Linked DNA regions of Diceros bicornis minor. Each later gene encodes a partner of the first gene's protein in a complex. Links are inferred from orthologs where the notes say so. Each region holds a gene or a part of one and is shown on either strand. Other genes may lie near its edges.

Region 1 (7,423 bases):
GGTGTCATGACAACCAGTAAAAATAGAAACAAGAGATACTTGATTTATATTTTAACAGCTATAACTTTAGAGAAGACCTAAAAAACTACTGTCTCCACAAACCTCCAGATTATCTATTAATGCTTTTAATCATCACTAAGTTTCAAATATCCTAGTAAAGACACTAGGCATTTAACAGAGCAAGCTGGGGGTGAGTAAGGAACTGAGGCAACACCTTTTTGCTATCATTAAGAGTACTATTTCCTCAAACAGCAAACCTCTGGAAAACCCAAGGAACTCAGCTGGTAGAGACATGCTAAGTGAGGATCAGAGAAACCAAACGATGCTTCCATGACTGCTAAATCAAAGGGTGGTGGTAGACACCGCGAAGGTTAGCACTCCTTCACACGATAAAGGGGAAGGAACGACTAGGAAATAACTGGCCAAGTTTCATGAGAAATTTCTCTCTTTGCTAAAAACCTCCACTATTACTGGTGAAGAACCTTCCCCACACATATATAAGATCTCTCCTCTCAATCTTGATGTCATTCGTTCTGTCTTTGGATTTCCCTTCCCTTTACATCCCACTTGACTTAGCAGGAAAGTTTATCATTACTGCTATGCAAAACAGATACTTATCCACTTACCAGTTTAATGGTAAAAATCCACTCCTACCAACAATTAAGTTCCTAGAGGGATCAAGAAAAGAAGCTTCTAGGCATGCTCACTGCACCTTCGGAAACTGTTTTCTTAAAGATCCAAATTTTTGGCAGTAACCTCCAAATAAGGCTGTAATTTATACTCTTAAAACAACTGCAAGCAACAAAAAGAAAAAAAAGCCTTCATGGCTTTATATGAATTGAAGAACATTTGGATAAATTAGTCATATATTTCAGTTTAAACAGGGACGGTTTCCAGGCATTTAAAGCCCTATTAAGAAATGGAAAATCGAATGGAGAACAAATAGTCAAGGCTGTCACACAATGAAACATCACTGATTCTGAACAACACTCTGTGTACTAGCAGAAGCTACCAAGGGAAACAAGAAGCCAGCAAAGAAACTACCCAAGTAGATAAAGACTATAACTGGATGTCAAAAGATTTTGTTTGAAATAATCTGACAAAAATATTTTCTACCTCTGAGAATACTAAAATACGAGTTAATTCAATTTTTGCCCAGTTTAACATTGAAATGGAATAGTTTTCTTAAAAATCTTATGGTTCTCTGGTGCCATAACTTTTCCCAATTCCATACTCCCCTGCCTAGAACACCTCTCCTGTCTTTAACCAATTCCTACTCAGCTTTCAGCACTTAATTAACACCTCACCTACTACAGTAGAGACACACTACCTTTGTTGAGTTCCATCACGAGAAATTATTTAGACTATAGATATCCACTCATTAATCTTACTGACTCCTCTTTGTAAAGAAGTATATGGCATCTAAATTTTTTTTACACTCAACATTGCAGATTCACTGCCCTATGGTTAGTCTTTCTTGACCATTTTTTTCACTCACTCTTCCCCCAACCTGGTTAGGAGCCCCATATGGGATTCCCTTGGTTCCCTATAAAAGAGGAAGCAATGTAATATCACAGAACATCCTAAGTGATTTTTTGGCAAATTACCAAATACTTTGTAATTTATGAAATTCAGAATGGATTTTTATTAAGTCTTAAAAGGCATTCAAAAAATTTTTCTCATGAACATGCCAGTGCATTTTTTTAATAACAGAAGACCAAACTACCAAGAAAAATACACTGCACAGTAAAATAATTTCTGACGTTCTTGAAAATACTTTTTCACTTTCCAAGAGATACAATATGTGCTTCTGTTCAGATTTTACTCTTCATTTTGAAATACATTAGAAAAGCCAGAAAACGCATCCTATACTAAGAACAAAAATCTTTAGTATGAGTTTGTGATCATAGCCTCTGAAATTTCAAAAGTTGCCACAATATTTTTCCAGTCCTGTAAACTCAAAGATATAACTCCTTGTTTCCTGCCATGGGAACTGGGATCATTTCCCTCACCCATTTGGTTAATATTAATTGGCTCTAATATTGGCAGCCTGTCTTGGTCAAGCCTTATTCTTGCAAAACCATCCCTTATAATGAAAGAAACATAAAATATATTCTCCACAGTACGAGAAAAAGAGTTTGGATCAACCACAAATTCAAAATAGGACACAGGAGTATCAGGATACTTTCGAAAGTACATTTGCAACAATCCCAAGATTCTTTCCACTTCTTTTTCTGTCGCTTCTTGATTACCATTCAGGTCCAACTTCCTCAGCTTTGTAGGCATATCCCCGTTTTCTTCCATTTTGTGAACTTTTTTCTGGTGGTCAAGCCGGGGCTTTGGTGCAGAAGGCTCTGACTTGAACGAACCAAAAATAAAGTGGAATGTTTCAGCTCGCACTATCCAGGATGTTGCTTCCTTTTGTACTGTCTCCCAGAAGGAAAGAGCTATATTATCATCACAGCCACCCAACTCATCATGTTCATCCTCTTCCATCCAGTTTAGACCCACAAATATAAACAGAAAGTCACAAAACGCTACTTGATTAAAAAAGCTCGTATTAGAGTTTAGCTGCTTTGCTTTTTCTTTACCCAAATCAGAAGCCAAAACAAGAAACTGGGCATCGAGGGCTGCTTCCCTTGTTCGGCTCACTCCATCAAACAGGACATTGGCTTCCTCAAGAGCCTCGGTTAATGAGTTGCTCGCTCTGTTCACTATGTCATCACGATTCTGCTGCACGTTATAGATGAGCTGCCGGTACTGCTTGCGGATATTCCGGCATTTCTCCTCGTCAGCCTCGAGCCCTAGGAGGTTTGGTTTTATGGCGGCATCCCCACAGCCGAGGTCGTCAGAGCAGCAATCAGGCCCCAGCGCTTCCACCTTCATCGGTTCTCCGTCCTCCTCCGCCTGCTTCACAGAGTACGCGCTACCAGTGATGCTCACCACCGGCTCCTCTTTTTTCTCCACGCCCTCCTTCAGAGAGTCTTTCTCATCAAACATGTCGACAACTGCTGATGCTCAGCTAACGGCTTTCGCTACGTTTCCCACAACAGCAGAAAGTGAGGAGGTCAGTTAGAGCGGAGGGCGTCCGCCCATGCGCACTGGCGGCGCGGCCCGGAGGCCCGCCCCTGCTCCCGCCCCCGCTCCCGCCCCCAGCTCGCTCCACCTCCCGCCGGCTGCCGCCCGCTGCGCCGCAGACCCCAGGCCCCGCGTTCGCGAACGAGCCCGCGGCCGCGCACAGAACGCGCGCAATAATGGGTCCCAACGCCGAGTATCCGTTCAAGCAACAGCTATTATTTTAGCGTTTACGAACAGTGTCATGTAGCTTTCAAAGAAACAGATGGACAACGTTATGACAAAATTGCGGGGAGACTAAAGGTCCTGCGCTCTAAAACATTCGCTGTCATCTTGCCACTAGGTCGACCTCCATTTTTCGTTCTTAATATGATTAAAAGGTGGGGTGTCTTTTTGTTTTTGTTTTTTTGAGAACTAAATCTGGCTAGATTACAAACTGCCCGTAAAGCCAAGGACTGTGAAACGCAGAACCTCCATTACAAATCGGCCGAACTCGCAGGGTTCATTTGCAAGGTGGTTGTTTGGAACTCATTCTTCAATATACAAATGCACACTTACCTTCGGGGGCCCTCAAAAGCCAAATCCCCTCCAAACTACCCCATAGTGGGAGGGAGGGCCCGTCTTGGGGATGCGTCTCTTCCAGCGCATGTGCGAAGGGTGGGGCGTATTATTCAAGTGATCTTTGGTTCTCCACCACTCAAGGATGGAATAAACTGGGTACGGTTTCTGCAAAAGAGCTGTCTATTTGGAAGCTTCCCAACGGCTAAAGGCCAAAGACTAAATGGATAGTAAATCCGAACCCTAAAAGGTGAGCAAAGCTATGAAGATTTTAAACACAAATCTGTTCTAAGGAATATGAAAGCGAATAAGGATGTATAAATCAGGTAACTAATCTAGGTTGGAAAATGCACCCACTACCTAGTTCATTGGAAATTCACCCACTACCTAGTTCACTGAAAATTCTTGTACAGTTGGAGAAAGGGGTCAGCTGATCAGTCACACAAGTAGCAAAGTATATGTAACAATGGAAAGGAATACATTTTGTTTTTAACGAGAGGCACACTCTGAACCCACAAGATCAAAAGCTTTTAACCACTGCAACAGGTGCCCCTGTGACAGAGACAGAGAGACAAGAGACGGCAAAACTGCACCTGTCAACTCGAGTTTCCCCTTCCCTTCCTTGCTATGCATGTAGACTGTTCATTATTCTCTGACATTAGCAGAAAGCTTTTCACAAATGCATGAACAGCAAAACAGTATTAAGTCACTCCAAAATATTTACATTACTAGTCGTCCACCATTTTTTTTTAAGTAGGGGTAATTCAGGAAGAAACATACATTTTTCAAAAACACCATGCACTATGGTTACTTGTACATAGATATTATCCTGCCTATTAGACTGTTAGCTTCTCTACAGCAAGAACTTGGTTTTAAATATTCCAAGCAAAGCTGTTTTCACATGGAGGCATTTGAGTATGCATATTTGAATGTATAAATGAATGTAGATGAAAAACTTTGTCCCAGCACCTATTGCAAGTTATTTGGCAGCAAAAGATTAATTTCATAGATTAGTGGAAGAAATAGATCCTACAATCGAAAATAAAAGTTAACTGCTTTTCAGAAAGTCAGCCTTATCCCTTCTCTGAAATAAAGAAAAAGCAGGAGGAAAACAAAGTTGGGACCCAGGATCATCAAAGGGCCATATTTTCCCTCCAAGTCTGGCCAACTACAAACTAATATTTAAACCTGTTTTAAATCTTGGATGAAAATACACAGTTAATTCTAAGTCCCAAATCCAAAAAAGTTTGCTTTTATAATTAACCATATTCTTGGGAGCTTCTAATATCCACTTCATATTCAATAAAAGCAATTTATAAAAGAACTTTAAAAGACAAGCCAACCTTCCCACCCTAAGGTACTTATTTTCTCCTGGCTCAGAGAAAGGAAAACAGGCTGATACCAATTTGCTCCATACAGACCCTTTCATCTAAGGATTTCAAAATGCTTTAGAAAAATAAATTAATTCTCCCAACCTACTTATAAAGTATTACTAATGCCATTTACAGGGATTTCTCAGGTGATAATGGCCTACACAACTTGCTCAGAGCAACAGAACACATCAAGACAAGCATCATATTTCTAAATTGCAATTTCCAGCGCTGAATTCATTCTATGCTAGATCCCTGTCCCTAAGAACCTTAGTAACATGTAACTTAGATCGTCCTCAGAAAGTCATGCATGCACTGTATTTTGCCTTTTAAAATCTGCCTTTAGAGCACAAGGTTTAGATGTCGCTGCAAAGCAAAAATCTCAAGTCTAATGATTTTCCCCAATCATTTAAAGAATGAGATTTCTACACTTATGAATCCTTTAATCACTAAACAGAGATGTTATAACCTAAGGTCCAATTACTAGTAATAATTATATAAATGCAGCTTAAAAAGAAGGAATATTTATATAATGTTAGAAACCAATGTGACCTCAATAAAAAAAGAAGGAACAGCAATACAGAATTTCGGTTATACTGGTAAACTTCTCTATGACTTGTTACAGAAAGCAAAGTGTACTACTTCTTCAAAGAAATCACTAAGATGTACCTTCATGCAGTAAGACTAGTTCAGGTAACCAAGATATACAGCTTGGCCTTCAAGATAATTTAGCTCCTCTCCTCCCCTTTTTTCCTCTTTCAGGAGTTGTTGCCAAGGGCTCAGTATGGTCCTCCATTTCTTCTCTTCTGTTCTTCAGTTTTTTCTCCTATGTTATTTTTCAGTCCCTTTGCTAAGAGTTCAGATTCATTCATTCCAAGCATTCTTAAGCTCTTTCCCATAACCCCTAGTGCTCACCACAAACATGGTGGGATGGGTGTCGTAAGTTACAAGTCTCTGTATGGTCAAATAAAAAAAGAATTCACATAGGGTCCACTATCTTTTCCAGCAGGGTTTTAACTGCAGGATCAATCTATAACAGATGTTGAAGAGACTTCTGAGCCAAAGCCAGCAACCCAGCCAAGTCTGAGTCCTGCACTCTAACAGATAGACTTATCTTGCTATTAGCTACCTCCCTAAACTTTCCTTCTTTCACAAGAGTTTTACCCCCCTCATCCTGTCAGCGTATCTATTTAATACTGAGTTGTGAAGAAACATGGTAAAAAGTCCTGGTTTGATCTGTCAGATTAGCAGGATGTTAGGTATATTTTCTTTCTCATCTTAATTTCCTTTAAAGTTATGTTTGTGTGTATATTTTTGCTTTGTTTGGTTTTTTAGTATTAAAGGTAAACTTTGCTATGATCAAGGCAGATATCTGTGTGTTTTTTAAATGAGTTTCTGAAAATGGACAGCGTAAGGAGGCAAACTTGGGTTCCAATCTTGATCTATTAGCTATCAGTTTTATCTTAGGCAGATTACTTACCCTCTCAGCTTCCAGTTTCCTCATTTGATAGATGGGACTACAACTACTCACATCACAAAGGTACTTTAAGTACTGAATAAGAATTATGTGATAGATCTGAAATATTTTCAACTATTAAGTACTTATTAAATCTTAAATTATCTCAAAGATAGTAAATGTTTAATCAACATTAGACAGTAAATAGAAAAAAAATGTATACAAACCAGTAGCATCACTTCTGGATGTTGTTTTAGGAAAAGAAAAACATTTTAAAGGTTAAATCCATAAGGAGGAATACAGAAATATATCCCGCTATAACAAATACCAGTGAAAAGAAATTTACCATATAATAAAATAAATCTACTAAGGCTTCAACTAATGGAAATGTGTACAGCACTTTGAAGGGTAGACTTCTCTTCTAGATATTCTGAAGCAAGTCAACAAAGAGTCTGAGATTGTATGTAAAATTACTTATGTATATTTTTTTCATGAATAGCTCCTTGGATTTCAACAGATTCTTTAAAAAACCCAGTAGTATCTAAAAGAGGCTTTGCCTATGTGTGCTAGTCAAATAAGATGGCTTTATTAGTGAAGAAAAATAAAATGAAAGTCAAGTCCCACAAAATAATTTGAACCCACAGACTGAAATACTTTAAAGTATATAAAACCTCCGCCCTTGCTCTGTGGTCAAGTTATACACTTAACTGACACTTCAGAAAACCCAGTGCTGGCTGACTTGCCAAGCCTCAAGAACTAACATAAACAAGGGTATGAGATGAGGAGAATAAAACCTTTCAGGTTATAGGAACAATTATCAACTCTTGGGATACCTCAGAAGTTGGCAATGACCAGGAGCATCGTCTTGATAGACTAGGAGTAGAAAAGCCCTGGGTATGTGGCTTTTTAAGGAGGCAGCCTTGACCTCAGCTCTGGAGGCCTGGGTTCAAATCAAAACTAGTAC
Region 2 (7,238 bases), on another chromosome or scaffold:
CAGTGAGGTCGAACAGCTTTCCACACATTTTTTTAGCCATTTGAATGTCCTCTTCTGGAAGATACAGTCTTTTGATCCCCTGGGAAACTCAATTTTTGCATCCGTTTGTGATATAGACAGACTTGGCATTTTCTTTAATTCTGCTGTTCTCGTTTTGGTATCAAGATTAGAATAGTTTCACAGAATGTGTTGGATTTCTCTGTCTTGTTCATATTCCTGTGCAGTTTGCATGATATAGTTTTGTTTTTTTGGGTTTTGCATTTTTTGTGTGTATCACTCCAGTAAAACTGTCTTGGCCTAGGCATTTGGGGAGCTGGAGCAGAAGAAGTTCTGCTACCTTTTCAATCTCATTGATGGATATTTGTCTACTTTTCTTCTTGGGCCAAGTTTTATATGTATTTTTGTCAAAAATTACCCCTTTTATGTAGGTTTTCAAATGTATTGGCATAAAGTTGTTCCTAGTATACTCTTATGCTTTCTAACATTTTTATTCTGGTATGTTTCCTTTGTCATTCATAATATTGTTTGTGTCATTTTCTTGATCAAATAAAATTTGTCTATTTTATTAGTCTTTAACAGAACACCAACTTTAGGTTTCCATTTTCTTTCGTTTTTCATTTTACTTATCTCTGCTTTTTGCTTTATTGTTATTTCCTTCCTTCTGTTTTCTCTGGGCTTATTTAGTTATTTTTCTACATCTTAAATTGAACACTTAAATTTTGTTTTCTTATTTTGTAATAGGTACACTTCAGGCTATAAATTCCCCTCTGGTTATTGTTTTGGTTGGATCCCACAAGTTTTGTTATGGCAGGCTTTTATTGTCATTCATTTCTAAATATTTTGTAATTTCTATATTGGTTTTCTTTTTCATGCGTACGTATTTTTCAGTTTCCAAAAGGTATGTTCTTTTTCTTTTAAAAATGTATTATAGGGGCCGGCCCGGTGGCGCAAGCGGTTAAGTGCGCGCGCTCCGCTGTGGCGGCCCGGGGTCGCTGGTTCGGATCCCGGGCGCGCACCGAGGCACTGCTTGGTAAGCCATGCTGTGGCGGCGTCCCATATAAAGTGGAGGAAGATAGGCACCGATGTTAGCCCAGGGCCGTCTTCCTCAGCAAAAAAGGAGGAGGATTGGCGGATGTTAGCTCAGGGCTGATCTCCTCACACACACACACAAAAAAATGTATTATAAAATCTTTTAACATAAAAAAGATCTAAAATTAAAATAATGAACACCTAGCTTAAGAAATAAGACTCAAATGTATGCTTTTAATTTTTTTATTTTTCATAAGTAATAGATGTACATGATAAAAAACAAATCATACTGTCTTCCTGGCCCCTCCTTAGAAGCAACTGCAGTTACTAACTTAAGGTGTATTCTGTGAGTTGTATGGGTTTCCTTTTGGCTCTCTTTTTGTTGTTGACTTTTAATTTTACTTCGTTGCGGTTCGTGACAGTGGTCTATAGATTCTTTGGAATTCACTGAGGCTTCCTTTGTGGCCAGTACATAGTCAATTTCTGTAAATGTTTCAAGTATGTTTGAAAAGAACGTAGGTGCTGATGTTCTTTTTCTAAAAGACAAACCTGATCCCATCACTTCCTCTCTGATAGCGTCTATGGTCTTCAGGTGAAAGACCAACCCCTTTAGCCTATGATTTGGCCTCAGGCTTCCTCTCTAGCCAAGGCCTCAGCCACCTCCCTTATGTACAACAAATTTATGTCCACATAGCTCTTGTACCTTTCAGGGTCAACTTTCAGAAGAACGTTTGAACTGTCAAAGTTGTCTGTCGCAGGCAGTCCAATATCTGCCACATCAAAGGTCCTAATAGATACTCACTGAACCAACTAGAGAATGGGCTGTCTTCTGAGGGTAGAGTCATGAACTCCAGTCTTTACTCACTACTTGCTCCTACTGAGCCCGATCCACCTCCCTGAGACCTCTGGTTGCTGTATCCCTCCATGCTAATTTCTCAGCACCGTCCCTACTTCCTATCCCTGCCTGCCCATACCACCACGGGTCACTTCAAAGACCCTCCCACCAACGCTCTCCAGTTGCTTTGCCTTCTAGCCACAGCTGCATGTGCCCAACCAAGCCCCACCCCAGGATGAATCCACACCAAGCTTCTGCTCTGAGGCCCCTGGCATGGGGATGGGAGATTGTGGGGGGATCAGGTGAGCGACTGTCCTCTCTACACATTGATGGTTTCAGCCTTAGCCAGAACCTCACTTTCGCATCTGTTCCAAACCTCTTGACTCCCTTCAAATCCCCTAGCATCTCCCTGGCCACTTTATTCAGCAGAATGATACTTTGCTACTTTACAGAGAAAATAGAAAACATCAGGGGTGAGCCTTTATCCCATTTCGCCTCCTTTCCTCCTGTTTCAGAAGTGTCTCTCTTTCTGTCTAGGATAAAAGTAATCCTGTCTCCATATGCCCTCGACTTCGTCCTCTCCTGTCTCCTGTTTTTATTCTATTGATTACTCCCTTTGTTCCCAAGTCTTCACATCTAGCCTTCCCAAACCATCCTTCCTAGAAGCAGTCAGCACTCGTTCTCCACTCCCTCGGCTTCCCTGCATTCACTCCTCTTGGAGGCTGATCTAGCTTCCTCTGTCTCTATGGGCTCTTACCAGCCATCAAATTCCAAATCGGTGGCATGTCTTTCTTGACCTCCCCAGAGCACTGACAACTCAGACCACACTCTGCTTCTCAACACTCTCTCCTACCTGTTTGCCTCCGATACCACCCAATCTTGAATCCCTTTCTTTTCTTTCTACCTCCTTTCTTGGCCCTTTGATCCTGACATGTCAGTGTCCCGGCTTTTTCTATTCGTGGTCCTCAGTTTTTATTTCACTACACAGTAGGCAAGCACACATTTTGTTACAAAGGGGCATAGTCTTTACTAAGCTCTGATCAAGTGGGAGAATGCTGGCTGATTGTCACCAGATTGCCTCATTTTTCAAGAGCTGTCAAATACCCTAGGGTTTTATGTGAAATGCCTCAACTTTAAATATTGATAATGAATTCAAAACGTTATAAAACTGTGCAGGGCAAACAAAACATGGATGGTCCTCCTTAGGGATGTTCTTCTCTTATTTGCCTGCCCCCTAAGGCATTTTATAAAGTACTTTATTAGAATGGTAACTCACACTTATTGAGGGCTTACTATGTGCCACTCTTCTAAGTGGTTTGCATGTATTAACTCATTTAATCTTATCAACAATGTGCTATTATTATCTCTGCTTTATAGATGAGCAAACTGAGGCAGAGAGCTTCAATACCTTGTGCTGGGTCTCAGAGATACTGAGTTTAAGCACCAGGATGCAAATCCACATGGTCCAGCTCAGGAGCTCAAGCCTTTAACCCTTACACTCTACTGCTTTCCCCATCAGCAGAGGAGGAAACTGAGGTCCAGAGAGGTTGAGAAATTGTCCAAGCTCACAGGAGTGGTAACCCGCCGAGTAGGGGTTTGAAACTTTCATCACAGAGATAGATACTTGCACTTTCTACTGTCCCTATAATTAGCTACCTATTTCCCCTGCTAGACTGCATACCCAGCTCTCAGACGAGACTGGAGTACAAATGTTTGTAAAAGGAGTGCCCTGGAGACTCAAAAACAGTCCCTTCACTTCTATTGGTAACTTCGGTTACTTCTCACAACAATCCCTAGGTAAGACTAGCTAACATTCAATCAGCATTTCCACGCGCGTTACCTTTTAAACCTGACGAACACACTACTTCATAGGGATTGTGATTATCCGCATTTAACAGAAGAAGAAACTGAGGCTCTGCGCAGCTCAGGAATTGCCCAATTTCCGGCAACTAGCAAGTGGCAGAGCCAGGATTCTAGCTCAGGCTGTGTGACAACAGACCCTCATTCTTGACCTTGAGGTCACACTGTCAGTTCTACAGATGGGGAAATTGAGGCACTAGCTTGTGCCCGTGGGATCGCGGCCCGGGGTGGGGGGGCACGCTGCACTCCTGCCCTTCTTCTCTCGGGTCGCCGGGCGCCACCGCGGGCCAGGAAGCGGCAGGCGACAAGGAGAAGCCCTTCCCGGTAAGGTACCGAGAGCGGCGCGGAAAGCTCGTAACCCCGGACCTCACCAACAGACTCTGCGACACCATGGCAACCGCGCGGGCCGGCGAACAGGAAGTGCGTCACTGGTGGGCGGGACGAACCTGCGACGGCCACCAATGGGAGCACCGCGTCCGCCTTCGCCCCGCCCCGAAGGAGGAGCCGAGGCCGCTTTTCTGCCGTCGCTTGGGACCGTGTGGGCTGCGTTTGGGGGCCTCGGTGGGTACCCCGGGGCGCGGGGCTGATGGGGAGGGGGAGTGTTGTCCGGGCATGAGAGGGGAGGACGGAGGCGGGGGTCAGGCCCCGGGGCCTGCCGCGTGCTGGGCAGGAGTGTGGCGCTGGGGCCCGGGGGCTCCGGACTTCGCATTTCCTGGTGGGGAAACTGAGGCCCGAAGACGGGCGGCAGAGGCAGGTGGGCTGGCACCGAGTCCCTCACGCACACAGACATTTTAAAATCGTAATCTTAGGTGAAAAAGTACTTTTAATCATCGGAGTTGAAAAATCAAAATACAAAATGTTATCAAAACAGTACGTAACTATGGCCTTCGCTGACCCCACTCTCAGTTACTCTCGCCCTCCTCTGTGCTTCACCCCTATTTTGTGTGCAGAACTTAATTACTTTGTTCAAGTCCACAGCCTCTTATTTTAAAGCCCTGAGGCTAGATGTGTGCAGAATCCCAAATTTCTCGAATTTTCGAAAGGTAAAATGGTGCATATATGCTCCGTTATGTCATGCCTTCCGTGGGGTCTAGGGCAGCATCCTGGAATCAAATACATTAATATTTCCGCAGCTACATACGTGCACATTTACACGAAAGGGGATAAAGAACAGCCATAAATAGCCTCACGTTAGGTCAGATCAGGTTTTCAAACTTGAAAGACGTGGTTTGCAGACCTTTTTAGATTTGAAAATTGCAGATAAGGGACCTGGATCATAATTGTACTGTTCACTCGTATTTCTCGCTTCTCTGGACTGGAGGTGCCACGGTTCCTGAACTCTGCTTTTGTATGGCCACTGGCTATTTCCATCACTAACTGTGTGTCACCTTGTGCTCTCTCAGCCTCAGTTTCCTCGTCTGTAAAATGGGGTCAGTAATGCTTTCCTCATAAGGTTCTGATGAGGATTAAATGCAACTGTGCATGTGAAGCACTAACACTGCATCTAGCACATAGCTCAAACGATTATGATTGAGATTTGCTTATTCCATAAACATTTCTATTTTATGGTTATTTGAGTAGACAATACATGTCCATGGTCAGTCTCTCCTACCCTGGCCCTCTTCATAAAGACAACTGACTTCTATGCATTAACAAGCCTATCTGTATCTTTCACGCTATTTCCCTTCTCTTGTCCCCAAATTAGAGTGTTCTATACGGTGTTCTTACTGACATTTATTTTGGCTGTTACTTAACATATTTATATCATTTTCTTATTTTTTATCAAGATACATAACATGCCGATAAAAATGTGTGAAAATGTAAGTTTGAAGAATTAGAATGAACACCCATATACCCACCACCAAGTTAAGAAATAGAACATTGTCTATCCTCAAAGCCCCACAGAATCCTGTCTCCCCTCGCTGAAGATAGCCTCTGCCCTGCATGTTGGGTTACTCATTCCCTTGTTTTTCTTTGTAGTTTTTACTCGCCCTGTATCTCTGATGAGTGCAATGTACAGTTTTGCTAGGTTTTGAATTTTGTATAAATAGGATCCTAGTATATATTTTGTGTGACTTGATTTTTGCACATAAGGTTATGTACATGAGATGCACCCATGTTGATGTGAGTAGCTCTTCTTCATCTTCGTTGCTGTTTTGAATTCCATGGTATGACTATAAGTGCTTTATGTAGGCATTCTTCAGTTGATCGTCATTTATACTGTTCCCAGATTTTTGCTATTACATGGTGCTTTTACAAATATATTTCCTGGGGCAAATGTGGAAAAGTTTCTCTAAGTTATATACCTAGTAGTGGATTTCTGGGGATATCCAAATTTGCTAGTAATATCAAATTGTCTCAAGTGGTTGTAAGAGATTATACTCTACCAGCAGTGGATGAAAGTTGCGGGCTCAGCCATTCTCAAGAATTTTTGCCTATCTGGTGATGGGTAAGACATTAATCACTGTGGTTTGAATACTCAGTTGCCTGATGAAATTGAGATTGAGCATCTTTTTCTGTATTTATTAATCATTTGTGTATCCTGTATGTGAAATTTCTGCTGCTCATTTTTCTCTTATGGTTGTCCTCCCCTTACTGATTTGTAGGAGTTCTTTATATGTTCTGAATATGAATCTTTTGTGGCTTAAATGTTTTTCAGATACCTTCCAGTTTGTAGCTTGTCTTCTCTCTCTCACTCTCTGGTATTTTTGGTGAACAGAGGTTCTTAATTTTAACAAAGTTGAATTTACTGATATTCCTTTATGGTTTGGAATTTTTTTGTCTTTTTAAGAAATCCCTCGTTACCTTGGGATCGTAAAGATATTCTCCTATATTGTTGTCCAAAAGTTTTGTCCTGTTTCCTTTCTTGTGACCTTAATCCTCAAGAATAGATTTTTGTGCATAGTGTAAAGAAAGGGTCTAGTTTTATATATATTTTTTTCACATATGGATAATCAGTTGTTCTGGCACATTTTATTGAAAAGTTTGCTTTGAAATGGAGTTCCATTTCTCCAACATGTCAAGTATCTACATATGCATACATTTCTGAGTTCTCTGTTCTGTTCCATTGGTCTTGTGTGTCCATTTCTATACCATTACCAGACTTTATTCGTTACCCTAGCTTTAGAATGAGTTAGGACAAGTCCTCTGCCTTTATCTTCTCCAAGAAGGCCTTTGCTGTTTTGCCTTTACACTTTCCATGTAAGTTTTAGAATTGTCTTGTCAAATCACAAACAGACACACAAAGCCTGTTGGGATTTTGATAGGAATTGCATTGATTCAGTTGCATTGGATCAATTTGGATTTTAAAATGATTGCTTTCAACATTTCATCCTTAAGTATGTTTGCTCTGGGTTTTTGTAGATGTCATTTAGTAGATAATGGAAGTTGCCTTCTATTCCAAGTTTGTTAAGAGTTTTTAGTACGAATTAAATGTTGGGTTTTGTCAACTGTATTTGCTGCATCTGTTAAGATGATTGTATGCTTTTTCTTCTTTATTCTGTTAATGTGGTGA

Evidence for each region. Proteins that work in one complex are often made in the same cells at the same time.
Region 2: EID3 (region 1) and NSMCE1 share a complex: the UniProt entries of both Homo sapiens proteins name them as parts of the SMC5-SMC6 complex. The link is inferred for Diceros bicornis minor from reciprocal best matches to the Homo sapiens genes EID3 and NSMCE1.

The regions. Positions count from the first base shown.
Region 1 is NC_080764.1:19,518,963-19,526,385, forward strand, and holds the start of EID3 (EP300-interacting inhibitor of differentiation 3), read right to left. Parts: upstream 3,095-7,423; 5' UTR 3,001-3,094; coding exon 1,888-3,000; 3' UTR 1-1,887. UniProt on the Homo sapiens protein: Tissue-specific component of the SMC5-SMC6 complex, a complex involved in repair of DNA double-strand breaks by homologous recombination.
Region 2 is NC_080765.1:23,115,700-23,122,937, forward strand, and holds the start of NSMCE1 (non-structural maintenance of chromosomes element 1 homolog), read left to right. Parts: upstream 1-4,205; 5' UTR 4,206-4,285; intron 4,286-7,238. UniProt on the Homo sapiens protein: RING-type zinc finger-containing E3 ubiquitin ligase that assembles with melanoma antigen protein (MAGE) to catalyze the direct transfer of ubiquitin from E2 ubiquitin-conjugating enzyme to a specific substrate.